4 linked regions of the Struthio camelus genome follow. The protein of the gene in region 1 purifies or fractionates together with the protein of each later gene. This does not show direct contact. Links are inferred from orthologs where the notes say so. Each region holds a gene or a part of one and is shown in the gene's direction. Other genes may lie near its edges. The genes, in order: PPP2R2B, SERTAD4, IER5 and MTCL1.

Region 1 (6,980 bases):
ACCTTTCTAAGATGCCCAAGCAAGATCATCTAAAATGTCACTTTTTAAAACTAGACTGCCTGTGTCTACAGAGTGCGCTAACAACTGCAGTTCACAGCTGGGTAGTGTTGCCCCAAAACATAGCATGGTGTGTCTGAAGTCTAACTGAGTATAAGGAAATAATTTAGTTCTTGCTTATGAGCTGTTAGGACATGTGATACTATGGAATGAACTAATATTTATTTAGGAAAGAAAAGGTAGAAATGGAAATTAATAAAACATCAAATCCAAGGTTATGCATGAAATAAGAATGAATCCAACTATTTTTTGCAATGGCATAAACATTTTTATGGCATTGCTCAGCTTTAATTGGGGTAATGCCGTCTGTCGTTGTTTTTAATCCAGTTGCCAAGATTTTCTGCCAGTGCGACGCCTAATATTTAATTTAATTTAAAACTAAAGTGTTGAAAGTTTAAGAAGGCATGGAACTTAATTTTTCCTAGGACACTATTCTGCATACATCCATACTGAAAGTGTTTTGTATATTGAAATTGGAAAACAGATCTGTTTAAAACATGTGCTAGAAGTATGCCTTTGGAAATAAATTCTCCCTCATGAAACATATCATTGTTAAAGGGGCAAAATACTAGCCTTTAGTATTGCAGTTAATCATCCTGTGTCTTTCAGCTCAGTTTGAAGGCCACCATGAATTCTTTCTCATCCAACTTCCATCCATTTAAAGAACTATTTGGATGGTTTCTATAATATTTATTGCAATAGTCCCGTTGTAATATGACATGCCACATTTATCTCTAATTTGGAAACTACAATCTCTAGAAAATCTGCAGTCTATAAAATGGAGTCCGTTTACAATCTTTTCATGTGGAAATGTTTCAAGAGGGTAGAAATGGTCTTCAAGACTTTGTTGAGCAACTCAAGGAAACAGAAAACCTGGTCCATAGTTTAAAAGTAAAACAAGTGCCTCCTGATAAATAACACATTGTTAATGGCTGAAACAACTTAATTATAATTATTATTATTATTTAATTTTAATTATTTTCATGGGATAGAGTGGTCTTTGCTCAGGTAATTACAACAGAGAATTAGAGGCAAGTGGCTCACCTACTTTATATCCTGTTTGACATTCTGTCATATATATTCCTTTAATTTTCTTTGCAAAGGTATTTTATTTGGGCCAGATTCTGAAGTTATTGTTTGTTTTTTTTTTACTGTCCCTAGTAAGGGAAGAAAATTATTGGCTTTGTTGTTGTGTTTTTCCTAAGAGCTCAATGACTTAAAAAATGAAACTCAAATTCTGTTGGAGTTAATCCATGCAGGGTTGCGTCAGTTTGTGTAGAAGGTGAGTTAATTCTGGAGGATTCAAAGTGGTGCACCAGGATAGGAAATTCTTAGCACCAACAAAAGTGTGTTTCCTTCCCTGTCCCCAGATTTGCACTAACTTGTAAAGTAGAATTTGCAGCTTTTCAGTAGTCTATAAGATGACCTCTATCAGACAGACAGTGAAAATACACTTGGACCAAAATCTGTTCTAATTCAGCTTCTTTTCTGACTGACTCCAATGTGAGTGGTACCTGAATCCATGGAGTAATATCAGGATGAGGACAGGATTTCAAATGGCCAAACATATTTATCAATACCTAAGTTTGAGTACAGAATTAGGCCTTTCATCCCTGCTCTCACTAGAAGCACCACTGGATCTTCAGTCGCTGTAAATAGTCAGAGGCAGACTTACCAGTAGAAATCTATTAAAAATTAGGCTTATTTAAAAACAACCAGAACCACATTAGATACCTGCCTTTGTTTGTTATCTATATTAAAACTGTTCCTAAAGATTTTTATAAGCAGCTGCGTCGTAACAAACAGTCCAGTGGATTGACAGAAGGCCTATTTATTTCATACCAGCCCAGCCATTTACCGTAGCCGATACAATGGCAAAGGGGTCACTTTTCAGGGCTGTTGAGAATATAAATAATTCTTCTAAAAACTCATTTTTGCATTTCATGAAGAAAAACCCTGATCTGATGCTGAGAAAAAAAATGTAGCTTTTCTTTAACAAGAGCTGCAGACAATGCTGAATTACAGCTGTCCCTAGCTGGGCAAACAGCCAGCAAGAAAACCAGGGTTTGTTAACTCATGGGGTTTCATACTCTCTGTCTATTCTCCTTTCCAGGTCCATTCTTGCAAACAGGCAAGACATTGAAAACCACAAAAATGCCATTTCTCAGAAACTTGTTAGATCTGATTGGATTCTCAGGCTAGGAGGAAGAATTTTAAGTCACAAATCCTTTTTTGCTTCAAGGAGTTGGTTATTTCCTTTTATCTGAGAGGAGGTAATAACGATACAAAAGAGCTTTCTGGAAAGGGCATAATGACATTGCTCCTCTCAACCAGCATGTTGTTCTCTTGCTTTTCAAACCTATTAGCAAAATTTATGAGGCATTAATGTTTATACAACAATGTTAACAATTTTTTTGTAAATTTGTAATTTTTTTCACATCTTCATGTCATATTCTTGTAGCTGTGCCTATTGTTTGATGATGTTAAATTAGGAATCTCACTAAACTTAATATTCTTTCAAGGTCTTATCAAACTGTGTCATACCCTCAGACTCCAGGTCTTTTTGTACTCTTAAAACTCCAGATTTCACCGTATTTGGCTTGACTCTTCCAAAAAACTCATTCTACAATTTGTAGGTACTGTTGTAATGCATTGTATATGATTATTTTGCTGTTTAACATATTTGATATCTATTGATCTGTATTAATATGCAAAAAATGGCCATGATATAAATAAAAACACTTTTGAAAGTTATAAGCATAAGTAGTTAGGATTTCCTCCTCATTTTGCGTTTCCTAATCTTTGCATCATTTTCAATTTTAATGTTTTTCATGGAATTATAAAAACAGACAACAAATAAATGGAAAGACAGAGCAGCAGACGGATGGATGCCTGGACAGATAGTTGTCTGGAGCATATATGTATAACAGAAAATGGGAAGATCAAATTAAATGTAAGTTTCAAATAAACTATATTCAGATTTCCCTTTCTTTGACTCTAAAACTTGAACAGGTTATTTCCTCAGCATAGTTCTGTTAGGACAGAAATCTCACAAAGACATGTGGCTAGGCTACGAGTTGGTTTGCTTAACTTAGTTATACCTCTACCTATACATTATCTGTCTATCCATCCTATTTTTTCTTTTGTAAGAAAGGAATAAGTTAGAGTATAGCTTGGTCTCCTGATTAAGATCACACTTGCAGACTGTGAAACACTCAAATTTTCTGGTGCCACATTTCAACTGTGTGTAAAATGGGTAAAATGGTATTTCCTTCCCTCACGACTCCATTGTGCTGCTTTCTTCACGTTTGAAAAGTGCTTAGAGATAAAATGTGTGTTAGGATAAGAGGAAGCAAGTTGTCCTTAGAGGCTGTGAATTTTTTGCTACAGTGAAAACTGCATTACAGAAAGGAAAAATTTGCTGAGCTGTCAGGAGAATGAGCAGCAGTAGATAAAATCCTGATTTCTCTCGGAGTGTCTTAACACAAGAGTATTGCTACAGTAGCAAGAGCAGTTTAGAGATACACAGTTTACTAAACATGCCTTATAATAGAAATGCCTGTAGTATTCGTTTAAAACAAATACAGTATACTTCTGATTCCAGGCAAATTTTGATAATATTGTTATGATGCATCTAATGTGGTTTCATTCTGCTGAGAATCACTGCCAAGCAGTTCACAACTACATTGGCCATAAACTGGAAAAAATGTTGTTGTTGTTGTTGTTGTTGTTGTTGTTGTTGTAGCTCTTTTTTTCTCTGTTTCACTCCCTTTTTAACAACGATGGAAATGATGTGGGCATTAGTATTCTGGTGAAGAGAGGCTGTGACAAAGACCGTGACTACAGGGCCTCCTGACTCTTCTATGATGCTGCCAGTGATGTAGAGGGGACTGACTCCAATTGCACCATTTTCAAAATAGCCCTAACATGGTACAGAGAAAACAGACAGACAAGCAATTCATAACGCAGGCATAATGTTTTCAGTTTTGCAGTGTTAGCTTTGCACTTTGTATGGAAGAATGATACCAGGTGAGCAAATATTTCTCTTCACGCAGGGACTGCAGATATTTGTGTGCCAATTTGTATGTGCATGTGTGTGTGTTTGTTCAAAAAAAGACGAGCTGTACAGAAGTGTGAGTATATCTTCTTTCTGCATTTGTTCCCCTGGCAGGATTTGGAAACCTCATGCAGGATGTGCTGTGGTGTTTTAGTCAAGTAAAAGGAACTATTGACATTGGGGTGACAGAAGGTAGGTTTATTTTTCCTTTTGTTGCTTTGATCAAAGATAACTTGTTTGTCTTGTACTCTTTGCCTAATCAATGTATGGGGGGGGTTGCTCACATGTTGTTGGGTGAAACTGCTGGCAGAGTTGAGTTATGCTTCTTTACTCTTCTGCTTTTCTCCAGTATTTATGTACTTGAAAAAGGTCACTAAAATTAGCTATTGATCCAAAAGATTCATTTGAAGCCATTATGTCTTAAGCATAGTAATAGTCTTAAGCATCATAGTAGTATGCCTTAAGCATCAATAGTCTTTGAAATACATTTCCTTTGATTTTCAGCTTTTATTTACGTGAGCGTTTCAGGTAATTGAGACCACCTCTGCCACCATAATATCCTTTACTGGAATCAGTTGGATTCTGCTTCTGGGTATTAACATAAGTATTAAAACACTGCTCATTCTTGTATGCAGGGTTAAAATAATTTACAGTGTATACACTTACACAGATATGTGCCCGTGCAGGAGGGATTAACACAGGCAGTTGGGGGATTTAAGAGCAGAAGACACATAACATCTTCTTTCACACCCAGTAGCTTTCAGGGTGATTTGTACTGCTAAATGACTTGGGCACTTCTCTCCCTGCAAGCACACCCATTCTATATTTGGCATTTTGACTGCAAAAACATGGACAATCAAAAATAAATAATATATTCAGTTTTCCTGACCTTGAAGTTGAATATATTCTTTCAGTCCCTCCTACGTTGATGGTTCTATTTTTAACTTCTTAATGGTCATTTTCTTAGTCTTATTTCCCACTTCCATCTTCCTTTCTCCTATTGCATTGCTCTCGTTAATCCATGAATTTCTTTACCTCTCTATTTCACCATTTATTCCCTATATGATCCCTATACTTCACATACATACATACACACACATATATATGTATATATACACTATATCTATACTTTGCCCCTCATGTATAACTAAGATCACATCCCTCTTCTCCTAACTCTCCCTTTACAGGCAGCATTTTTGTGCCACAGGGAGACCAGCTAAACCATGGTGAAATCCTATCTTCCAATGTGTAGAGGGGTTTGGTTTGTGTTGTTACACTGACCTTTTATATTTGCGGGCTGTCATATTTTTCCTGTCATGCTTTGTTTAAAGCTCCAGAGAGCATGAGATGTGTTCTCTGGTGTGACACTGCAGAATGACCACAGGATGGTCAGAGATCTATGGTACAGCATATGAGAACGCTGCCCATCAGGTCTTAACTGCCCTGGCAGAACGCTGCCAATCTTTTCTGCTTGAAACCAGTGTGTAGACACTACTAGTGGCATTTCATTGCTCCAACTGAATGGCTTTAGAAGTGAGAATGATTCCAGGAAAAGAGCTTGCGGAAAAGTGCAGCAGTGCCTGGTAAAGTGCTGCTAATAGTGCGACTGCTTGCAGCTCCTTATGTGGATATTAAGATAATAAATGTAGGAACTGAGTTAGCTTACTGGATGTATTTCTTCTACTTTGTGGTACTCCCTGAAGCATAAGGCTTACTTTAAAAGCACAGTCTTGTAAGACTGAGAAGGGAACTGAGTTAGCCCAAGTCTCTGACAGCAGAGCTCTAACTTCTCCTCCTCTAGGGAATGTGATTCTATCTGGAGTATTGTCATGTGTTTTGCTTCAGTGGCAGTTATTTGTTGCGCTGCTTTTTGCAGAAGAGGGCTGCTGTCTGTAACCTCTAGAGACTACAGTGGTGCACAAAACTCAGAATATTTAAAAATGTGTTAAATCTCTGGGAAAAAATAATTGACTGCAATTAAAATCACAGCGTTTTTCTGTTAAGATGCTTTTTGCAGAAATTACTACAAGTGCTTTGAACTTTTACTGTAGAATCTTAAAATCATTTTAAATGGTCAAGGGCACTTATTTGCCAGTTCAGGACTGATAAAATGGTAGCTTGCCTCTTCTTCCTCACTACCCTTCCTTCACGTAACCTGTTATCAGCTGAATGCTATAAGCTGTTATTTTTCACATTTGAGACTCGATGCCAGAGGAATACAGAGACATGGTGACAGAAAAGGACCCCTGTAATCTTTGTGGGAGGTAACCTGAAGCCACGGAACAGAAAAGCCTCAGAGATGTTACTTTAAAGGCCATATTCAGTGAAAAAAATAACAAAAAAAAATCACGTTGATCTGTAAAATCTTGTCAACAGGAACAGATGACTGGGCAGAAAGCTCAGCAGAATATTTTAGGTATGGGATTGGGCTATTGGCTGCTACGCTGTTTTTGCTTGTGTTCACATGTGAATATGTGTGTGTGTATACAGATGTACGTACACATATATCGCAGCGTTCCAATCTCTCCCCTTCATCAGAAGTTTATCCATAATTCGTTGGCTTTAGTAGTCTTCATGGCACATTTCTGACCTTTAGAACTCTTGCTAACATCCAAGCATCCTGAATTTACAAAATGTAATTTCATTAATTATTGGAATGCATGCAGTTGTATACTGTTAGTTGAAAGGAAATGTTGCTATTATGTTTACTATGTACTGCATCTTTGAATGTAGAGGATCCTGCCGCCTGCAGCAGAATACACTGTAATTCTGGCTTTTAACTGATATTTTAAAAAGATGCAGAGAGTAATTCTGTATGCCTACTGTTTTCCATGCACACATAAACCCACATACATACACACTTTGT
Region 2 (7,735 bases), on another chromosome or scaffold:
CAGAGGATTGCTTGAATTTCCCTCAAGTGAGGGCCAAGAAATACAGGGAAAAACACTAGACTTGGCAGGTCTATAGTTTATCTACCTCAGAAGGATGAAGAGCTGAATTGACCCTGTTGGCACACAGACCTGTTGTTTTACCAGTCTAGATATTTCACCCGATCTTAACTCTTTCACATCACTCCTGTATCATGCTCATGTGAAATGGTATTATATATGTTTCCGATACAACATGCATTGGAAAGAATGGAAAAACATCACTGCACAGAGTCCGCGCTGACTTGCTGCCACCTGTCGTCATTTCCCCCTTCCCCTCTGCCTCTTCCCTGCGGTCGCTTGACATCTCCCTTCTTCGTGCCTTTTGTACCAGGTTATCGTTGCACCTTCCAGCGGTGCCCTGCTCCTCTTTTTCTACCAAGTACGTGGCTCCCTCCTTCAGACTGACTCCTCTGTTTACTGTTGATCGGGAACCCTCACTCCCTTTTCCACTCCAGCCTCTGGCGAACGCGGGGCCCCGGCCCTTTCTTCGTTCTCCGCTGTGGCGCTAAACTGGGAGCTCGCTGCTCAGGAGCGAATGCTCCGTATCAGTGTGCTGAAATACCGTAGTTCGTCTCACCTGTTCGTATTATCGAGATATGGAGGAGATCTTTGTTTTCCTTCGGGCCTGTCTGCGTCTGCTCCCAAACCATGGCCTGTCTCTTGGAAGTCCAGCTTTCCGTTTACATTCAGCACAGCCAATTCTAGATGTTTCCCACTTAACCCAATGCTTGCAATCTTGCTGTTCTCGTTACCACCAGAGCCTTGAATTCAGGGATCTGCTTGACTCTTGGCGGTCATTTACTGTGGCTCAGTTGCCCCAGTTTTCCGCTGCTTCACTCACAATGTTTCTGTAACTGCATCCTTATCTATTCAGGCAATAAGCATTTGAATCAAGGCCCTGGTATTTCCCATCTAGGCTTGTAACTTCTTCCCCCTTGAACTTCTGGCATGACAGCTAGCTTGATCTACTCAAGCAAAAGCTCTTACGTCTCCTTCCATGCCCATTGCTGTGGTCCGAGCCAATCGCCTCCTGCCTTTCCTCCTTATTTTCCTGCGTCAAGTCAAGTCCTTTGTTTTCCCGTTCTAGGCCGTCTCAGCTCTGCCTTGGTTGTTGCTGCCCCACGACTGTCTCCACTGCGTGGCTCTTCTCGCTGTTCACCGGGGAGGCGGGCGTCCCTGTGCGTTTGTCTGCTTCTCGCGGGAGAGCCTTTTGGCCCTTTCCCACGCTGCTCTTGCCCACAGAGCCTCCACCGGATAGATTGGTGATACCCAACTTTGTTGCAGCAACCGTGAAGACTAGGCAGCTATGAAAGAGGCTACGCTGGAATTGTTTATGTGCGATGTTGTTGTTGCTTTTTTCATGTATATGCAGCACTCTGTGCAGTATCTTTCCCTTTCCTCTCTCTGGATGCCGCTTGCTTTCTTTAGACCCTGGGTGCAGACAAGCACTGCTTGTGCGCAGGGCTTGTACAGGGGGATTTCTGCAGTGTGAATTTCAAATAACACCAGCAAGGTAACAGCCACCAACATGAAGGCAATGATATTTCCTAAGCACTATGATCCACAGTGATATAGTACAGTTAAGAAGCATTGCTCTGTCCTTAAGTTGTCTTGTTATGCTATGAAAATACTCCAGAACAGGGTGTATGATAAATACTGAAACCTCAAGAGCACTTAAGTACAAGCCCAGGACTTAAGAAAGGCATAGCCCCTTTAAGACTATTCTCTTGTCCTTATTGATCTTGGTGAGACCTGCAGCATTATTGTAGCAGGCATTTTATATTTAAGTTGGGGTTTTTAGAGGCATTCTGGAGCTATATAAAGAGCCCTTTTCACTGACATCGGCATCAGGCTTGTTATAATGTGAATGGCATCATTACAGTTCTCTCATTAACATCATAATGGCTCTGGAGGAACAGTGAGTGAAAACCCCGGCAAATGGAGTGGAGTAGCAATGTATAGTAGTCGTACTGTGCAAAACCGCATACGGAAAAAGTTTGACATTTTAACCTTCAGGCTGCTGTAGATGCCTCAGGGTGTCCTTGCACTGCATGCGTTTGGCTGACAAAGTGGAAAAACTGTGGTAGCCTAAGGATTGAGGGCTGGGTTCAATAAAAAATTGTGCCTGGCTTCCATGCCACTGAAGCCCACACAAGGCTCCCAAATGGATTTCTTAAAATTGAATCCAGCCCTAAGTGTCAACCTTTTGCTGTAATTTTGTATAGTACATGTATTGTGTGCTCAAACGTGCATCTTTCATCCTTTACTTCCAGTGGTGTTAATGGAAATGTAACAATGCATGTGCTGTTCTGCAAGGTCTCATTGAAATGAATGGGATTTTGGACGAAATCCCTACACTACATACAATAATGTACTACAAATGGGCTGGGCTTGTGGCTGGGGGATGATGAGATCTGGGTTCTATTTCTAGCTCTGACGCTGGTTTGCTCTGTGACTTTTGGCAAAATATTCAAGAGTAGCTTTTGCCACCCTTAACGGGGAGAAACAGTATCTTAATTCTTTAGGAGTAATGCCGGAGCTCTGGCAGAGTGCCGACGTTAGGTACGGTACCACTCTGTCGGTAAGACCGACCTCTTCAGCCTTGCAGTTGCGTGGTGCCGAACTTTACACGGAAGGAGGCTGATGTTTCAGATGTGCCGAGTACTCGCAGCTCCCCTCCCACTCATTTGCAGCAGTTGGAAATCAGTGCTTCTGAAAATCAAACAAGAGCAAATCGCATGCCCAGAATCGGAAGCCCTTTTCAAAGACTGGCTCTCGGCTTCTGTGCACTGAAGCAATTTCTTTGCTACAAAATGGGGCTTATTTTGTAGCTGAGTGACACCACGCCGAGACCTACAATTTGGGGGGGGGGGGAGGTTGCCTTCTTTTTTCCCCCTAAGGAAGCTCTATGTTTTGTTTTTATTCTATTTGAAAACATGGAGAATGTGCATGGACAGTAGCTGTTTATAGAAGTGAACTGGCCTGCCTCTATTAATTTTGCATGTTGTAAATAGCAGCAGCAGTTCATTTACTTTACAGGCTGTCCACAGAACTCAGTTTTTCAAGATAAATCAGCAGCGCTGTGCAGAAGGCATCCCAACACTTCCTTCCTTCCTGTGTGTTTCTGCTTAAGCATAGAAAGACCTGTTTGTGATGAAACATGGTAAAAAAATGCACAGTCCAGATCTCCAATGCTATTCTCATAAAAAATTTCCACAAAGAGATGCTGAATTCATTACAAGCAAAGAAATACCGACTTTCCACAAGCGGCAGCGAGTTTCTTCCAACCCTTATTCTCTAAGGACAAATGCTGCATGTTGACATCATGCCAACATTAGGAGACTGATGTCTGACTGTGAGTGATGCCTCAGTGCAGATTAATGAGACGAGTCCACGGGTGCTTTCTAACGACAGTGTAATCCTTTCACGCACGAAATCTATGACTTTTTAAGCTAGTTTGTAGGCTTTTTTTTAGATCTTCTCCTTAGGTCAGCCGACTCACCCACTCGTGGTTTGGACCAGACTTTCCATGTGTCGGCACTCAGCTGGCAACCCAAGGGGCAGGGAACAATGTGTATTGTCTGTGTCATGGCTCGTTCCTAACGGGCCGGTCCGGTGGCCTGGGGTTCCTCGTGTCAGCGTTTCTTTCTCCAGAAAAAGCAAGATGGCATTAATGCGCTACTCTGAGAAAAGGGGCCGGGGGTCACGTGTAACGTGTGCTTCCTTGCCTGTAAGCCTGGTTCAAGCTAGAAAATAATTTGATTATGAGGAAGGGGTTTATGCATCTCTTAGTGCATTTGCGGTGGCGCCTGGTGGCCTTCACCGAGCTAAATGCTCAGGGATTTCAGCTGACTTCCCATTCGCCTCCCGTCCTCTGCCTCAGCGAGGAGCGCAGCGCAGACCCGGCGACGCGCGCAGCTCAGGAACAGAAAGTTAGTGCGTGCTGGAAGACCGTTTCTTAATAACGTAGCAGCCTTGCGCATTCTTCAAGGATTTAAGAAAACAACCGGCAGATGTGAATGATTTATTCTTCTCCTTCTCCTGCTGCCGTTTCTTTTCTCCCCCCCCCCCCCCGCCCCCGACTAGACAGAGCTCCGCCGCTAACGCAAACAACCGCCGGGCTTCCACCTTGCCCACCTGCGGCCCCCTTCTCGCCCTGCGCTTGGGCCCTTGCGTCCCCCCCGCGGGAAGATTGCACGGGGAGGAAACTATATCCCGCTTTCTTCGAGAGAGGAGGAGGAAGAGGAGGAGGAGGAGGGGCGAGGCTGCGGCTCGGGGCATTGTTCCACGCGCCTCTGCCGGGGAGCCGGTGCCGCTGGACTCATCCCCGGCCCCTGGCGGAAAGTTTGCTCGGTGCGCGGCGCTGCGCGGCGCTGCGCGGCCCGGCTGGCGGCGGCAGGAGGCGGCTCGCAGCCCGGCGCTGGCCCTGCGGTCCCCGCTCCTGTTTAATATTCTGCCTTGCTCCGCCGATGTTGTGCTTGGCTCCTGCGGGACTGCAACTCACGGCTTGAAACCGGAGCCAATTTTCTGTCTTAGTCTCGCAGTGTTTTGACTGGAGGCAGATCCAGTTCAGTCCGAGCGGGGCTAGTGGAAACAACTACCTAAGTCTCTTCTGTCTGTTCCGTTTGGGAGGGAAGAAAGAAGAAAGAAACGCAATCCCCAACTGGTGTGTGCGCGCACACACACGCACACGCACACACACACACACGCACACACACCCGCCGGTGCCGAGCGCGCTGTGCCAACGCCACCGGGAGAATATGGGAAGCGAGTGAGCGGATCCGTGCCGGTGTGTGAGCGGTGCCGGGCCGGGCCGGGGGGCAGTGGGGGGACCCCGCGCCCTGTGTGGGGAGGGCTCGGTCGGGGCTCGGCTCTTTTGCTTGCGACAAGGAGGGAGGGGGGAAAAAAAGAAAAAAAAAAAAAACAGGTTGGCAACGTACGCGTGCCCGCCTGTGTGCATGATGCATCTGCTCCGGCCGCGGCGGAAAGCCCCGGCGGAGGGCGGGCAGGTGAAACGCGGCGGCGGCGGGCTGCGGGGGCACCGGGAGGGCGGCTCGGCTCGGCCCGGCCCGGCTCGGCCCGGCCCGGCTCGGCTCGGCTCGGCCCGGCTCGGCGCCGCTGCGCGGGGCGCTGACGCCGCTGCTTCGCTTCCAGGTGCCGGGCGCCCGCGATGACCCTGGTGCTGCCCATGCAGCGGCTGGGCCACCCCATCGCCGCCGCCGCCGCCGAGGGAGCCGCCGACCTCGCCGCCTGCCGCGCCCTCTGGGAGCCGCCCTGCTGCGGCCGCCCCGGCCCCGGCCCCGGCCCCGGCCCCGGCCCCGGCCCCGCCGCAGCCCCGGCCCCGGCCCCGGCCCCGGGCGCAGGTAGGCACCGCCGCGCCGGGCGGCCGGGCTGCAGGGGCAGGGGGCGGCGGGTTTGGGGCAGGTGTATGAAACCCGCTGGTAGCGAGCGGCGGGGGCGGCCGGGGCGCCCTGACCGGCGCAGCCGCTCGTCCGGCTGGCTGGAAAGCGGGGAGGAAAGTTTTGCCCAAGCCGCCAGGCCGGGGGATGTGTCGAGCCTGCCAGCGCTGCCCCTTGAGACGGTCCTCGGTGGCCCGGGCCAGCGCACGTTGCGCGCGGTGTGTGCGTGAGGCAGGTGAAGGTTTTACTTTTGATCGCTACGGACATATGCGAAAATATGTGGTGGAGCTCTCCTGTAGCGAGAGAGGGAAATGAGAAGTATTTTGTTTGGAGAACCTCCGGCAAACCGCATGTCATTTGTCATATCTGATTTATTGCCCACAGGATCACATTACAGGGGAATTTCAAATCCTGTAACAACACCCAAGATCACATACTTTAAAAGGAAATATGTGGAAGAAGAGGATTTTCATCCACCACTCAGCAGCTGTACACATAAAGTATGTTTTCTAGTAGTCATTATTTTTACTCCGAGTTTCAGATGCTTAGTAACGCTTGACTGACCCATTTCCAGAAGGCTGAAATACTCCACTGAAATTAGGAGAATGATCCAGCTGTTTGCTTAGAAATGAATAGTTCTCACTTGTTCGCATTTATTGTTTTGTTGTCATCGAATGGCTTCAGAAGGAAAGGCATTTCTTCAGCTATAACAACTGTAAATGTAAATGCTCAGAATAACTTTTGTGTTCTTAAGAACATAGTTTTGCTCTTAAGTAGCTTACATCATCTTTATAGAGACAGTTCTCTAGAGTTTAAACACCAAAAATGAACAATGTAAATAAGAAGGATGCATGTTTCCCCATTCACTCGAAACTTTTTACAGAGGGGAAAATAATAATAGGTTCCATATAGCCCAAACAGGTATAGAGTTTCTCTAGAGAAACAGAATGACTTGAGAGGGAGTTCAATCTCCTTCAGTATTTAATCCTGTTTATAGAAAAGCTAATAACTACAAAAGAACAGATTAGGAAATGAAAAATATATTTTTTTTAATTAAAGCTCTCAAGAGAGGGACTAGAGCAAACACTTCTCAGGCCGGTGAATACATAAATTGAAGTCTAACTTTTTATGAGAGATTTTATGCCCTTGCTCAGTCCTGTAAGGAACTGAACACCTGCACTGATGTGCTGAAGGCTAGCTTGCACCTTGAGACCTCCTCCTTACCTGACTGGATCATACCTGGCCCATGGTACTCCTGTGCTATCCGTTTACGATTGGAGATAGAGATGACATAATACAATGTGATTAAAGCACTGCTCAGGGAAGGCAGTAGTACCATGAGAGCCCCAGAGGCAGAAGCCAAAACAAAGCAAGAGGCAGAGCGAGTTTCTACATTATCTTCGCTTGCATTGCAGTTCCCACCTGGAGAGGCAGCCTCTGAGACGAGATGGGATTTCAGGCCTCATTCATACCACGGGCACCTCCTGGGGAGGTTTGGCCATTTGGATCCTATTTCTCCGGAGAGATTTTCACTTAGGAGAAGTGAGCAGTAGTGACAAGCTCGCTCCCCCAGGACCTCAGGATAGCCAAAGGAGTTTTCAGCTACAAATAGTATTGGCTGGAAGTGAATAATTGACCGGAAGGTGAAAAATTGCCCTGTCGTTAATTCCAGAAGATGTTTCATCTGCTTTCAGAACAATGAATAAATGGCACAGAAGGTGCTGAAAAATGTGCTCTATTTATACATATATGTACATATATATGTTGTGTGTGTGTGTGTGTGTGTGTATACATACGTTCATACACACATCATTCTCTAATTTCAGCCAACTCTTTTCTTGAATAGATTGTTGGATTTTTGTACCAGTGATTATTTGCCTCCTAAAAATGAACAGTTGCTTCTCCTTTTTAATAGCATGAAAAACAGCTGTAGAGGTACTGGTAAGATAGACCTGTCTCAGACATCATTTTGTGCTATTGTAGAAATGTATCATGTCAGAAATCTCGGGTCACCGATTTGTGCTTTTCGGCACAGATACGTTTTCTACTCTGCAGCGCTGAGCTCTGGGGGAGGGAGGATTCCCACCAGATTTCTTTGAATTCCTTACACGTTTTTATACCTCCTCTGCCCAGTAAAGAGCGAGCTATGTTCTCGGGTTACTTCTTCCCACGGCGGGTATGACGGTAGGGCCCTGGAGCCCCTCTCCAGGACAGCTGGCAAAGCATTTGTAGTGGAAGGCCTTTGACAACTTGTAACTACTGGTGGCTCTCCAGGACATATCTCCAGGAGGATCTCA
Region 3 (5,990 bases), on another chromosome or scaffold:
GGGTACTGGTTATTAGCTCCTCCTGCTCAGGGGATGCATTTCTTTGCTCTTTCCCCGCAAGGATCTCAAAGGCCCCTTTCTGAGCACTAATGACATGTATACGTAAGGTACATCATGTTTATTGCTGACGAAGGCAGAAAAGATGGACACTGGCCCTCCCTTGGCTGCCAGCCCATGGTTTTAAGCAGACTAGGTGGCCAAAATGTAGGTGGTGGCTACCAGAGAGAAATGTTGGCTCGTATCATTCTGATGAGGTGGCGGGTGGCAGAACAAGTCAGTCAGCTCTGGATGCAGTCACCTTTACTCAGCATAGATCCTATGCAGTGTCTTTTCCACCCATATTTAGCTTTTTCAGCTCACAGAGCTGCTTTGCACCACTGGTCTTCATCAGCTTTTGAGTCAGGCACGTGGCATCACGAAATCAGCAGGAATACAGTCAGATGAAAAATATGAAATCTGATTTTATTCTTCTAACTAGAGTCATCTCTGCTGATGACACCAGAGGCCCAGGTCCTGCAAGCCAGCTCAAGGGTCCGCAAGTGACTCATCTGCTGTCACAGCGAGGGGAGATACCATCTTGTAAGAGCGTAACCTAACATCACAGCGCGGACGGAGCGGCTGGTGGCGGGCAGGCATGGCGGCTGTAAGTGAAGAGGAGTGACTGAAGTCCCAAACATGTGAACCCAGACCTGACTGAGCTGGTTAGACTGACCCGAGAGCTTAAGGCCAGGGAGTTGCTGGCCCTCCGAGGCGCAGGATCAGGTTCTGCAGGTCTGGAAACTTGAGGACGGCAGCGCCGTCGGTTCCGTTCCCACCGCTGTCACTCGCATTCCTCCTGCCTCCCACGGCCCTGTGTGGGTGGCGGAGCCCCGGCCCGCGTCTCTGCAGCGGTGGTTTCCTCTGCAACCCGAGAAAGGCTTGGCGCTGTCACGGAGAGGGGGAGAGTCGGGAAAGGCTTTCTAGGCTGTTGTACAGCACGCTCGAGTGCTCCAGTCTAGTAATTTGAGAAGAGGCATCCTGGCAGGTTTGTGCGAGAGGAGGTGCAAATTTTTAGAAGTCAAACCACAGGCTGCTTTGTTTTGGGAGACCATACCATCGTGTTCAAAAGGAAGTGTCCAGAGAGTGGCATTTCGGGGTTTTCAGCTGCATTTGAGCTAGAGAAAAACATGCATTCGTTCTGAGTTTGGATTTTTCTCAGGGAAGGCTCCTGCCATGTCAACTGTGTCTTAATGTGTTTGTGGTTGAATCTTCACTTGTTTTTTGTTACTGTTGTTACCAGCCACCCTGTTGTCCTTCCGGGAAGCCAGAACACGGTGGCAGTTCTTGCCAGTAAGGCATCAGCTCAGGAAAGGGCATCTGAGAGTCACTGGCACAGCAAGGCTGAAGTCCTGCATGCTGAGGAGGCGGGCGAGATGCATTCACCAAGGAGCAGCAGGCAGTTGGCATGGGTGATGCTGGGGTGGTGAAGAAATTTTTCTGTGTCTGCCTAAATAGGAGGGTCCCTCTCTTTTCTGGCAAAACGATAACATCCATTTTCTGCTGTTTTTCCTTTGTAAAAGCTCTCCTTGTCCTCTGCGTTTCAGCTCACAGATGTTCCTATTTCCACCCCCAGATGACTGCATTTATAGCCTTCGTGTGCTGGATAGGGTGCCGGGGAGGCTGGGGAAAATTGTCGAGGAATCTGGGGACAAGTTTGAAGTGTTTCAAAAAGAAAAGAGCTGGTTTCTTTCTGTCTCCTTTTGACTGCACGAAACAAAGACTTGTTTCTGAAACCCCAGGAGCGTGGCAGGTAGTGCTGAGAAAGCAAGTTTTCTAACAACCAGCAGGTGAGAGTTGGGCTAGACAGAACAGCAGAGCATCTGGAGAGACAAAGGAGGCAGTATATCTCTAAAAAACACCTCTGAGAGAAATGCTTAGCCACGCTGTGCTTGCAGCCCGTTGTCTCTAGCCTGCGATAAGGGGCCAGAGAGTTATACGCCGCATTGCATTGAAAACCCAACCAGGCGATCCTCACTCAGCAGCACACAGATGCTTGCCACGTGAAGCACTCAGACGGTAGGACAAGCCAACGTAAAGATTGCTCAAGAAACCTGCATCCCACCCCTCTCGTGCTTGTTCGTCCTGAGATACGTCTGTAATGACACGATCACATGACATTTGGATATAGCTTCTTATTCCTGTCTTAGAGGGCATGTTCCCAAGCCAGTGTGCTGCACCTTGTTGTACCGGGCTGGGAACAGCCCTGGCCCCGCTTCCCCGCCTGCCTCATCCTTCGCCAACGCCGGTGCAGCTGCACAGCTAGTTGAGGAAGCTGATCCAGCTGAAAGCGATCACTTCAGTGCCAAATTCATTGCCCCAAACAAGCTGCCCGGTAGGGCTGTGGCGAAAGGGGCAGACTGCTCCAGCGGGGAGAGGAGAGGAGAGGGGACAGCAGGGCTGCAGCAGCTGCCCCCAATAAGGTCACTTTGCAGACGTACGTGATTTGGATTTCACCCCAGCCTGCTGGTGTTCATTGACAGGACTGTCCCTGTTTTACAACAGCCAGTGCAGCCCCGGGGTTATCAGCTGTGTGCTCATTTGGGGGATTTGGGGCCTGATGGAAATGCATAACAGGGACTCGCTATTAAATAGCCCTTTGCTCCTTCAAAGCCCCCGTACGCTGACCTTTGTCTCGATGGCAAAAACCGGCACTTCTGCAGCTCCCGTCTTGCTTCTCACTGCTAACTGTGGTTCTCATTTTGGGGGGGATCTGTGAGTGAATCCCTATGAAAAAGGACTGAAGCAACGCATCAAGTCTCAGGCAGGAACTCTGCTGAAGAAGCAGGAACAGAAACTGATACTCCAGGGCAGGGCATTTAACTTCCTTAATTTCACCCTCATTTCTTGTATCCTTCTGCCACCTTCACTGAAGGCGGTGATCGCTTCTCAGTAAAAAGGGATGGCCCCGCTCTGAGCCCGGAAACACCCCTCCGAGCTTGTCCGTCCTGGTCGCTGCACGAGGCCGTGGTTCTGCGGAGAGAAACGGCACGTGGGGGTGCAGCTGACCGCAAGGAGAGAGGGAGCAGCGTGAAGCGTCCCCAGAGATTTCTCTGATGCCTTGAGCTGAATGTCTGGGGTGGTGGTTGGCCTCTGCGGCCCCGAGCCGCCAGGGCAGGCTGGAGCACGTGCCCTGCCTGGGGGCTTCATAGCCGACTGCTACGGCAGAGCGGCGGGAAGCTTTCAGTTCCCACGGGAAGTGCGCCAGGCTGCCGTGGTCCCCGTGTCTCTGCTGGAGATGCTGGTGTCCTGCTGTGCTCCCCCAGCCTCCGTTCCTATGCTGTCCTGCCCCCAGGTTTTGATCTTCCTCTTTTATCGTCAGCTTTCTGAGAGCTTCGTCGCCAAACCTGAGAAACCTCCTTCAAGGAGCTGGGAAGCGATGTGATTCTGGTCAAAGCGGGGGCGTAGTTCCCTTGAAATACTGAAAGGTGCAGTTGCCCCCTCCACCCAACATACGTCCCTTCTCTCAAACTACACGATGTTGGCGACTGATGGCGAAATTGCAATAATCATTTGTAACCTTCACAAAACCACGGGCGGTTCTTGCTTTTTTTTTTTTTTTTTTTAAGAAATGTTTCAGTTGTTGGCCAAAACTCCCACTGCTGCCTCCCGATCCGATAAATCTCCATCGGAGATGGAGAACCAGAATAAATCCCCATCCCAAATGAAAACAGAACCACGGGAGCCGACAGCGGCCCGCACGGTTGGGCTTGTCGCTCTGGGTCGGGCAAGGCCTGAGGAGCTGGGCTGGGCTTCGGGTTTTCCTCGCCCTTCCCGACCAGACGTGGTCCCACGCGTGGCCTGCAGGCCGGGCCCCACCGCCGCCGTTGCCGCTTTAAGGGCCCTCTCCGCGGGGCGCGCGTTCGAACCCGCTGCCCTGCCTCGCCATTGGCTGGCGCGGGCGCGCGGGGGCCCGCCGGCGGTTGGAGCGGCCAGCGGGGCGCCCTGATTGGCCGGGGCGGGGGCACTATATAAAGCGGCCGGGTGCGTGGGCTCGCCTCAGTCGGCGGCGCGAGCGAGCGGCGAGCGGAGGCGGAGCGCGGGCGGCCCGGCGCGGCGGGACACGGCACGTTACGGCCCTGCGCGGCGGCGGCGGCGGCGCAGCTCTCGCCCGTCCCCATGGAGTTCAAGCTGGAGGCGCACCGCATCGTCAGCATCTCGCTGGGCAAGATCTACAGCGCGCGGGGCCAGCGCGGCGGCCTCAAGCTCCACAAGAACCTCCTGGTGTCGCTGGTGCTGCGCAGCGCCCGGCAGGTCTACCTGAGCGAGCCCTGCTGCCCGCCCGAGCCGCCCCCGGCCGGCGGCGCCCCCCCCCGCGGGCCGACGGAGGAGCCGCCGCCGCCCGGAGCCGCCGCCGCCGCATGGGCGCCGGGCGAGCCGCCGCCGCCGCCGCAGGACGAGGCGCCTAGGGGCGGCCCGCGGCGGCCCGGCGCGGACTGCGAGAGCCCCCGGGCGCGGCGCTGCGGCTGCTGCTGCGCGGCGGCGGCGGGCGGCGAGGCGGGTTGCGCTGGCGGCGGGGGGGGCGCGGCGCCGCTGCCGCCCTGCTGCTCCCGGAAGCGCGGCGCCGGCGAGCGGGGCCAGGCGGGCTCACCGCTGAAGAAACCTCGCCGCGAGGCGGAGGAGGAGCCGCCGCCGCCGCCGTCGCAGGGCGAGCAGGAGGACATGGAGACGGGCAACGTGGCCAACCTCATCAGCATCTTCGGCTCCGGCTTCTCGGGACTGCTCGGCAAGGAGCCGCCGGGCCGGCGGCGAGCGCCCCGCGACGGCGGCGAGGCGGCGGCGGCAGCAGCAGCGCCCGCCGAGGCGGCGGCCGAGCCGGGGCAGATCTGCTGCGACGAGCCGGTGCTGCGGACCCTCAACCCCTGGAGCACGGCCATCGTGGCCTTCTGACCCGCCGCGCGCGGGCAGCAGAGACTCGCCCCCCGCCGCGGGCAGGGGGGGCCCAGCGGACAGACGGGCAGCCGGACCTAGAGGTGACCCCCGCCCTCCTCCTCCTCTTCCCTCCCCCTCCACCCCCCCCTCCCCCGCGGCACCGGACCGCTCGGCCGCGGGAGCGCAGCGCGGCGCCGGGCGGACCCCGCGCCCTGCACCGCCCCGGCCGCCGGGCACCAGCACTTGCCCTGGGCGGCCCTGGCCGCCGGCTCACGTTTTAAGCTCGGGAAGTATTAAGTTTATTAAATAAAGTCTATATTTTGGAAAGGCTTAGGGCCGGAACTCTTACATGGTGCTTTTTTAAAAGTGTTTATTGAGAGAAACGAAGTTTACAGACGCTCTGATGGAAAGTCCTTGAGCCTGTTTGTTAAGGCTTGGTAAGTCCCGGTCTTTGTTGTATAAAGGCTTGGGGCTCTGGTAGGGATTTTGTACAGTATTCTCCCTCAGTGATGTATCTCGTTTTGTATAAAATGTAACTCTACGTGTACAACACGTATTAAATATTTCCAACTGTATAAGCGTAGTCCCTGTTTGTGCACCCGCTTGGCGTGGGGAGGGGGGAGCCGAGAGCCGGGCAGGCAGCCGCGAGGGTGCGGTTGCTGCGTGTCTGTGGCTGGATCCACCCTGCGTAGCCAGAGGCTTGGGGTGGGTTGGAGCCCAGCTCTCCTGGGAGCTGGGAAGAAAGGAAACTTCTGTCAGGGCAATTGGAGTCCCTCCCAGGATCCCGCCCGCTGATCCGACGGCTCCTCTGGCTGCAGCCTCTTCCCTGCTCGGCGCTGCTCTGGGGCGCTGACTGCGGAGAGCTGGGAGGTGGTGGGAAGCGCTGGGCAGTCCTGCTGCCTCCGTGATGTGCTCGTGAAGTCAGACTGCGACTAGGGCGGGGGGGGTGGGGCTGTGGTGGCACTTGAAGTCTTGCTCAGAAAGTACCTAATGTGCCAAAGCGCTCCCTTTGCGCTGAAAGCGGTTGCTAAATACCGAAAGAGCAGCTGTACTGCAGTCCCAGCTTGGCTCTGCCTAGCTGC
Region 4 (7,442 bases), on another chromosome or scaffold:
TGTGCCTCAGCCCTAGAAAGGAATTTAGGGAGCCCTACACTGCCAAACTGTGCCTTATGCTTTGTAAAATGTTTGGTAGCTAATCTGAATAGTCAGGCTTAGCATCTACTTTTCACAATTATTTGTGCAAGTACAACTTGGTTATCAAAAGTCTGCATGTATCAGGCAAAGGACATCGGCATTGCCAAAATAAATTTGTTGTAAAAGTGTTATGTCTGATTATTTGTATTATTCAACCACCACCCAGACGTCCTATTATGTTAAGAGCTGCACAAGGCTGTAAGAAACTGTTCCACCACCAGGGATGTATGACTAATTTAAGATAAGAAACAACAATTGGACATTAGAAGCAAAATAAAAAGAATGGGAGAGGAGAATTAGGGTAAGCGTGACAGGCAGTCTGTGGTGGCATGCTCCTGCATGAACCATTAGTGAGTTTTATGTAAGGGGAGAAATGGTTTGATATAAATAAATAAGAAATATGATACCTGTATTCCTTACTGGGCATTTGCCTAGCCCAATAGAGATTTCTGTGGTATGTACTTAGCTTTCATATTAGGGTATTATTCTCACTCACACCATGCCCAGTTACACCACTTTTTTAAGGATCTCCAAATGGCACTGCATAGATAGCAGAGGACAGAGGAACACAGCCAAAACACTACAGCTGGGCTCGTACCACAAAAATTCGCCATCTGTATCCAGCTAGGCACCTGCCCAGCAAGGGTTATTGATACTGCATTTCTTTGTTATTGAACTCTTTATACTGCTAGAGCAATATAAAGGGATCTTAGTGTGACTGAGCTTTGGTCTCAGTCTAATGTGTGTTTTCCTGTTTTACATTTCCAGTTCGAATGTGATTTTGTTTGAGTATCAATGTAAATAAATCACTTGCTATGATGCCTAGTTGAACTGATGCTGCCTCTGAATGCAAAGGATAACAAACCTTGCTGTATACTTCAGTGAAAGGAACACATACAGAATACAAGGATAAATGTTTATAGAGGTATCTGATCGCCAGTCCCCTTGCTAGTCTAAGGTCACCCTGCCAGATCTTGGGCCTTTAGTTATTCTGAAAGTAGATTCTGGGCACCTTCCCAGTAAGTCTGACTGAGTTGAGGTCCTCCTTGTCTTTGTCTTTTGGAACTTGTGGCCCATAATGCACAGTGATATAACAAGACACCTTACAAATAAAGCATTTAGTAGCTGAAAGAAAGCATTTAGTGAAAAAAGGGTCATAAAATAACAACAACAACAACAATCTGTATGCATGTGTTTACAATGTAAAATTTACAAGGTAACCTAAGCAAACTGGACTCTGCCAGGCACTCAAGTGTCACAGATTAATTCCCCCAGATAATTCCCAGCCCTTTGTGAATGTGCTCTTTTCTCAACCTTCCTAAGTCTTTTCCCCTCCAGTGGCACTGTCTCTCAACTATTGTTTGTAGAAAAGTGGCTTATCTTGAGCTATACTTTTTCCTTTCATTTTCCTTTTGAATTGAACTTTTGTGTTCATGGAGCAACTATGTCAAAACAGAATACTCATAAATTATGACAGAGCAGTTCCTCTTCCATCATAAGACTTAGAAACATTTAAAATCTAGTAGGTGAAGCTGGAATTCCTGTCTGTTCTTAAAGGTTACAACAAAAAGCAAGTGAGAGTGAACGTACTAGAGTAAAACAACCTTTATTGTATCTATCATCTAGGGTGACATGTATAATAATTAATATTACTTAAGATGAAATACAGCAGCCATCATCTCTTTCACTCCAGAAATTTAGAAAAGGAGGATTGCTCAAATCGCACAATAGTATGTTGCCGAACAAACCAAGAACACAACAGCTTAGCAGAAAAGACTGATACATGCAGTAGTCTGACAGAAATGCCATGGCATTAAAATGTAACAATAGTGTATATTTTATAAGCTGTTCTTCTAGAGAAAAGTCTAGCAGAGCTGCTTCGTATTGCTTCTATAGACTGGTCTTCTCATCCAATTAACAATCAATTATTAGTACTGTACACCGAGGGAGAAAAAGTGGCTTACGCTTGACAGCAGGCTTGTTGTGTTCTCCTTTCCTCAGAGTACTTTGTATAAATGGTAAAGGAGTTGGCCCCACACAATCTGCCTCATATCTATACTATACGTACAGACAGGCAGCAGCAAATGCAATCTTTGCCACACTGCTCAAAAATACTTTGCCATGTGACCTAAAAAGAACATTTGGATGAGGGAACTTAACTGACCAGCAGCAGTGCCAATCAGGGAAAACTGTAAGCTGTAGCAGAAGCTACATTTGTTAAAGAGAAAAAAAGAAAATCTCTCCATGCTCTGTGGCAGAGTTTGCTCTCCTGCCCCAGCCACTTGTAGAAGGACCATGCCACTCTCTTGGGGCAGCCAACCCCTCGGTGGGGGACATGTGTGACCCCAGGATGCGCCCCCAGCTCTTCAGCCCCAGGTCGGGGGCTTTAACCAAAGTGCTGGAGCCCTCGCAGGCGTCAGGCACTGAGCGTTGCCCCCGGGATGCAGGGAGCCGCCGAAGGGCTGGTGGTTGCCGAAACCCTGTCATCAGGCAAGCTCACGGGGCTGGCATGTTAACCAGGGAGGTACTGAGGAGCCGCTCTTAATTTCTGGAGACCTGTAATACAGTTCTGATTTGAATAATTTTTCAGCACTATAGCTTTTACAAATAATGACTACCTGTTGCATACTAATAGGGTAGCATCTGTGTTGCTCTTCAGCAGGATACATCAGTTTTGCCCACTAAAACTTCTCGTTTACCAGGACAAGAAGTCCCAGGATACCAGCGCCGTCCCAGTTCTTCCCCAGACGAGCTGACTGGCCCATTTCAGGTGACTCTGCGCATTGGACCTGGCTGCCACCCCGAGACCAGGTTTCAAACCCTTTCCCCAGAGCCGGATGCTGACCTTACCTCAGCCCGCCTGGACTGTTTTTGTAATGGTATCTAGTGCCCTCAGACTTCAGCAGTCCCAAGGGCTTTTGCCTTTCAGGGTAATACTTTGCACCTAGACGAGCAGGGTGGGAGACCCTGTGTGCCCAAGGGTGCTGGCACGCCACCCCCCACTTGGACTGCACTTGCCCAGAGCATGCCGCAATCACTGCTGTTCAGACTCAGATGAATTAAGCCTCCCAATAACTTTATGAGACAAGCATGCATTTACCATCTTTCTTTGACAGATAAACGTCAGGGAGCCACCGTGGCTTGTACAAGGTCTCACTGTGCTTGAGTGGAGGAGTCAGAAACACCCTGACTGTTGCCGTTGTGCGTTACCCAGTTAGGCTGTGCCTCTTTCCCACGCTTTAGCCTCTCCTCCCTTTCATGTGTTCTTCGAACGCTTCGCAAATTTAAGGTCTTTAATTTCATATCCCTGTGCTCCAGAAGGATAGGTCCGTGCCTTTTGTAGTTTAGCCACAGCCAGGAACTTGCTGATTCCCTCAGATACTCAGCCCTGCCTCTGGGTGAACCTGTGCCTGCCTTAAGCAAAGATATAATGCGGTGACTGTTGTTTTGTTGCTGCAGATCTCTGGAGAGAGGGTTTTCGTGGAGTCTTAGCTTGGAAGGGAAAAAAAAATCAACACGCAACGCTATACAGCTCATGGCTGGGAAATTAAGATGTTGCCCCCTCCCACCCCCAAATCAGGCTTCCTTATAGGAAGTGACTGGCAGAGGCGCCCCTACAACACGGCATGCGGGGAGCTCGAGGAAAGTAGTTTGCAGCGAGAGCAGCTTGGCTGGCTGACAGAGGGGGCGGATCCTGCGCACAGGCGGGGAGCGCCGCGCCGGAGCGGCCCCGGCAGCGGCGGGGCTATTTCAGGAGCCGGCGGAGGCGGCGGCCGGGGCCGGGGCGCGCCGCGCCGGGGCCGCGGGCACCGACCGGGGAGCCATGGGGTTAGCCGCGCCGGCGGGCTGAGCGAGGATTTGCGAGCGGAGGCGAAGGCAGCCGGGAAAGACTCCTTTGCATCGGATTCGAGGGAAAAGGGAGTCGTTTTCTTTTTTTCTTTCTTTTTTTTTTTTTTTTTCGGGCTGCATCACAACTTGAGCTGCATCGAGGCGAGCCAGGCAGAGAGGGGAGCGGGAGGGGAAGGAGAAGGAGAGGGAGAGGGAGGAGGAGAAGCTGCCGCCGAGGGACTGGGATTCGTTTTATTGAAACAAATCAGTGCTCGGGAGAGAGGGAGCGAGGGGGAGGAGGGGGAGGGCAGGACGAGGGGGATCGGGAAAGAAAAGTGTGAGGGCTGTGGCTGGGAGAAGCAGAAGTGATGAGAAAGCAAGCGGGGAGGCTGGAGGAGGCTGCTCGTGCTGCTGCGACCGGGCTCCGCGGGCACCGCCGCTCCTGCTGCCGCCGCCGCCGCCGCAGCCGGGCGCCCCCGCGGCCGCCGCTGCCGCCCCGCCGCCCCCGGCCCGCGCCATGGAGGCGCTGAACGGCCCCGGCCCCGGCCCCGGGGACACGCTGCGGCCGCCGCCGCCCAGCCACCACCACCCGCACGCCGAGAAGAAGCGGCTGAACCGAGCCCCGTCCCCCGCCAGACCCTTCCTCAAGGACCTGCACGCCCGCGCCGCCTCCGCCAAGCCGCCGCCGGCGCCCCCCAAGTCTCCCAGCCTCCCCGGCCGGGCGCAGCCGCCGCCACCGCCGCCGTCGTCGCCTCACGCCGCGGGGCTGCTGGCGGCGCAGGGCCGCCTCTCCCGCCGCCCCGCCGCCCCCGGGGCCAAGGCGGCCGCCGCTGCTGCCGCTGCTGCCGGGCGGGCGGCCGCCGCCAAAGCCGCCCCCTGCGCCAAGCGGGCGGCCCGCGGGCCGGAGCCCGGGCCCGGCGGCCGCGGCGGGGGGCGGCAGCCCGGCGGCGAGGCGGCCCCGCCGCCCGGCAAGGGCAGGAAGGCGAAGCGGGGCGCGGCGGCGGGCAGCGGCCATGCGGCGGCGGCGGCGCTGGCGCTGGCCCGCGTCAGCCACACGGACAGCAGCTCCGACCTCTCCGACTGCCCCTCCGAGCCGCTCTCCGACGAGCAGCGCCTGGCCCCGGCCGCCAGCAGCGACGCCGAGTCCGGCACCGGCTCCAGCGACCGCGAGCGGGAGCCGCCCCGCCACGGACCCGCCGCCGGCCCCGGCCGCGGCGCCCCGCTGCCCCCCGGCGGCCCCCGCGGCGACCCCGCGGCCCCGCTGCCCGCCCCCCCGGGGGCCGCCGCCGCCGCCGCGCCGGGCGGAGGGCGAGCGCCGGGCCGCGGCGAGCCGCCGCGGGCGGCCCAGGAGGAGCTGCAGCGGGAGATGGAGGAGCTGCGCTCGGAGAACGAGTACCTCAAGGTGAGACCCGCCGAGACCCCCCCCCCCGCCCGGGGCAGCGGTGACTCGGGGGTGCCCGTCTGGGGCGGGGGTGGGGGGGCCGCGCCGCGGACCGCCGGGTTTACTCGCGCCCGTCGGGGCCGCTGCGGGCAGCGCGGGCGGAGGTCGGCGCGGAGCGGGGCCGTAGCAAGGCGTCGCAGGGGCAGGTAGGGGGCTTCGGCGTGTGGTCGTGTTTCTCTGCAAAAGGCTTGATTTATAGAGGCTGGATGAACGCGAGGCCGGCGCGACGGGTGCGGTAAGAGTGCTGTGGCTGGGCGGTGCGTGATCCCTCAGCCATGCCCAAACTCTTTCTGAAGCAGAGTGAGCACTCCGCTGGTTACCGGAGACCTCGCTTTCCAGGAATTGTTATCCTCAATATCACCCTTACAGGAAAGAAAAAAAAAAAAACAACTCATTTGATATCGGAAAGAGGACAGCGTCTTGTCTGTTTATCGTGTTACTTTGTCACTGAAGAGCCAAGCCATTCATTGTGAAGTACTAACGAAGTAACAATAGCAGCCGTAAAAGGAGTCTTTGCATCGTTGTACAGGTAGAAAAGCACACATATGTGCATTCAGCCTCTGAGAAAACGGGAAAGCTAAATTCAGGAGTGCTCTGAGCTGATCTGACCTGCAGAAACCTTTTGTTGGACTAGTACTTACAACATGATCTTTTGGCACAGCAAAGAGGCTGCATCCATAAAGATCTATAAATAAAATAAACTGAGATAATCATGTAACCACAGATACTGTACCATTTGACTCTGCTGCTGGTGAGGACGATCTTTGTTCTCTGAATATCACAAACACCATTTCTTCTCAAGCAAAATGACCATGGGCATCCAAGGGATTTTTGCTCTAGTGAGGACTGGAGTTTCGTAACCTTGGGAGAAAGGAGGATGGCGAAGAGGTAGACTAGGCTTGTTAAGCAGTTTTGGCTAGGAGACAAGAAACGATGTGCAGCATAGCAAAAGGTTAACAGCAGGGGTGCTGCAAGGTTCTGTGCTGTCTGGTGCTGCTTCATGAACTGGAATAAGGAGTGAGCAATGATACAGCAAATTTTTCAGATGACACAGATTTTTTTTTTGATGTGAAGTCCAGCAAAGACTGGACAGAACTCCATAGGCAGCTTAATCAGGGGAGGTGAATGGGTAAAAAGTGAAGGCAGAGGATGCGAAATAAATCTCAGTACTGAAAATTCAAAGCATTCAGAGAGAAAAAGGGCTGAATATATACTTTTCTAGGTTTTAAATGCGTTGTTTTAACTCAGGAGCATCACAGTGGAAAGAGCAATGCTCAGTGTGCAACTGCAGGTAGTACTAGATTGCATTAGAAACTGAATGGCAAAAAAGCAAAGAAAATATCATAATGTTTTATAGATTCATAGCCATTATATGCACTGGAATACTGTGGGCAGTGCTGGTCATCTAGAAAAGGATAATGCAGAACTAGAGCAATAAAAACTATTGGGGCATAGCAAAGCTCTTACAAGATTCATATTGGATAGAAGACTCTGTAGTGCACTAGAGAAATGCAATAAAGGTCAGTAAAAAGATGAATAGCGTAGAGAACCTTTATCAGAAGCTTCTGTTCTGCATGAGAGAAACAAGGGGACATGTAATGAAATCCAGACTTGTTAAAGGATTGCTTTTACAAATAGTTAAACTGCATTGGTCTTTGGGGTCAAAAGCCCAGTAATACCCAGAAGAGGAACTGGCTATCCTTTCAGATGACAGGGTTTGCAGACTTACAGTACTTAACTTTGTGAAGCAGGTGATGAACTTGGTGAAGCTGACCATTATGAAGAATGTGTTAAGCTGCTTGTTTCGTGTCCAAGGTAGTTTCTAATTATGGGAGACTTAAAAAAAAAAAAAAAAAAAAAAAAAAAGGGGGGGGGGGTTGATGTTATGGAGAATGTTACCTGCCTACTGTGAGTTTCCGTGCCCCTTCCTCTGAGTTGTCTAGGACAGGCCACCGTGAGGGTACTGGACCCCTGGTACTGACCAGAGGACCTGATCGACAGATCCTAGGTAGCGAGCTTTATTCTGCGTCATTTCTCATTTCTTGCCCTGTGTGACAGTGTCTTCAAGTCTTTCACCTTGATGTCTCCATCA

What was found.
Region 2: the proteins of PPP2R2B (region 1) and SERTAD4 purify together in Homo sapiens (co-immunoprecipitation; 3 studies listed by BioGRID and IntAct, with this or other methods). This does not show direct contact. The link is inferred for Struthio camelus from reciprocal best matches to the Homo sapiens genes PPP2R2B and SERTAD4.
Region 3: the proteins of PPP2R2B (region 1) and IER5 purify together in Homo sapiens (affinity purification with mass spectrometry; 4 studies listed by BioGRID and IntAct, with this or other methods). This does not show direct contact. The link is inferred for Struthio camelus from reciprocal best matches to the Homo sapiens genes PPP2R2B and IER5.
Region 4: the proteins of PPP2R2B (region 1) and MTCL1 purify together in Homo sapiens (affinity purification with mass spectrometry; 4 studies listed by BioGRID and IntAct, with this or other methods). This does not show direct contact. The link is inferred for Struthio camelus from reciprocal best matches to the Homo sapiens genes PPP2R2B and MTCL1.

The regions. Positions count from the first base shown.
Region 1 is NC_090954.1:623,105-630,084, forward strand, and holds the start of PPP2R2B (serine/threonine-protein phosphatase 2A 55 kDa regulatory subunit B beta isoform), read left to right. Parts: upstream 1-3,974; 5' UTR 3,975-4,076; coding exon 4,077-4,086; intron 4,087-4,228; coding exon 4,229-4,306; intron 4,307-6,980. UniProt on the Homo sapiens protein: The B regulatory subunit might modulate substrate selectivity and catalytic activity, and might also direct the localization of the catalytic enzyme to a particular subcellular compartment.
Region 2 is NC_090944.1:113,208,038-113,215,772, forward strand, and holds the start of SERTAD4 (SERTA domain-containing protein 4), read left to right. Parts: upstream 1-4,711; 5' UTR 4,712-4,828; intron 4,829-5,193; 5' UTR 5,194-5,209; coding exon 5,210-5,402; intron 5,403-5,822; coding exon 5,823-5,938; intron 5,939-7,735.
Region 3 is NC_090949.1:6,943,351-6,949,340, forward strand, and holds IER5 (immediate early response gene 5 protein), read left to right. Parts: upstream 1-4,026; 5' UTR 4,027-4,155; coding exon 4,156-4,926; 3' UTR 4,927-5,480; downstream 5,481-5,990. UniProt on the Homo sapiens protein: Plays a role as a transcription factor. Mediates positive transcriptional regulation of several chaperone genes during the heat shock response in a HSF1-dependent manner. Mediates negative transcriptional regulation of CDC25B expression.
Region 4 is NC_090943.1:116,633,759-116,641,200, reverse strand, and holds the start of MTCL1 (microtubule cross-linking factor 1), read left to right. Parts: upstream 1-4,426; coding exon 4,427-5,311; intron 5,312-7,442. UniProt on the Homo sapiens protein: Microtubule-associated factor involved in the late phase of epithelial polarization and microtubule dynamics regulation.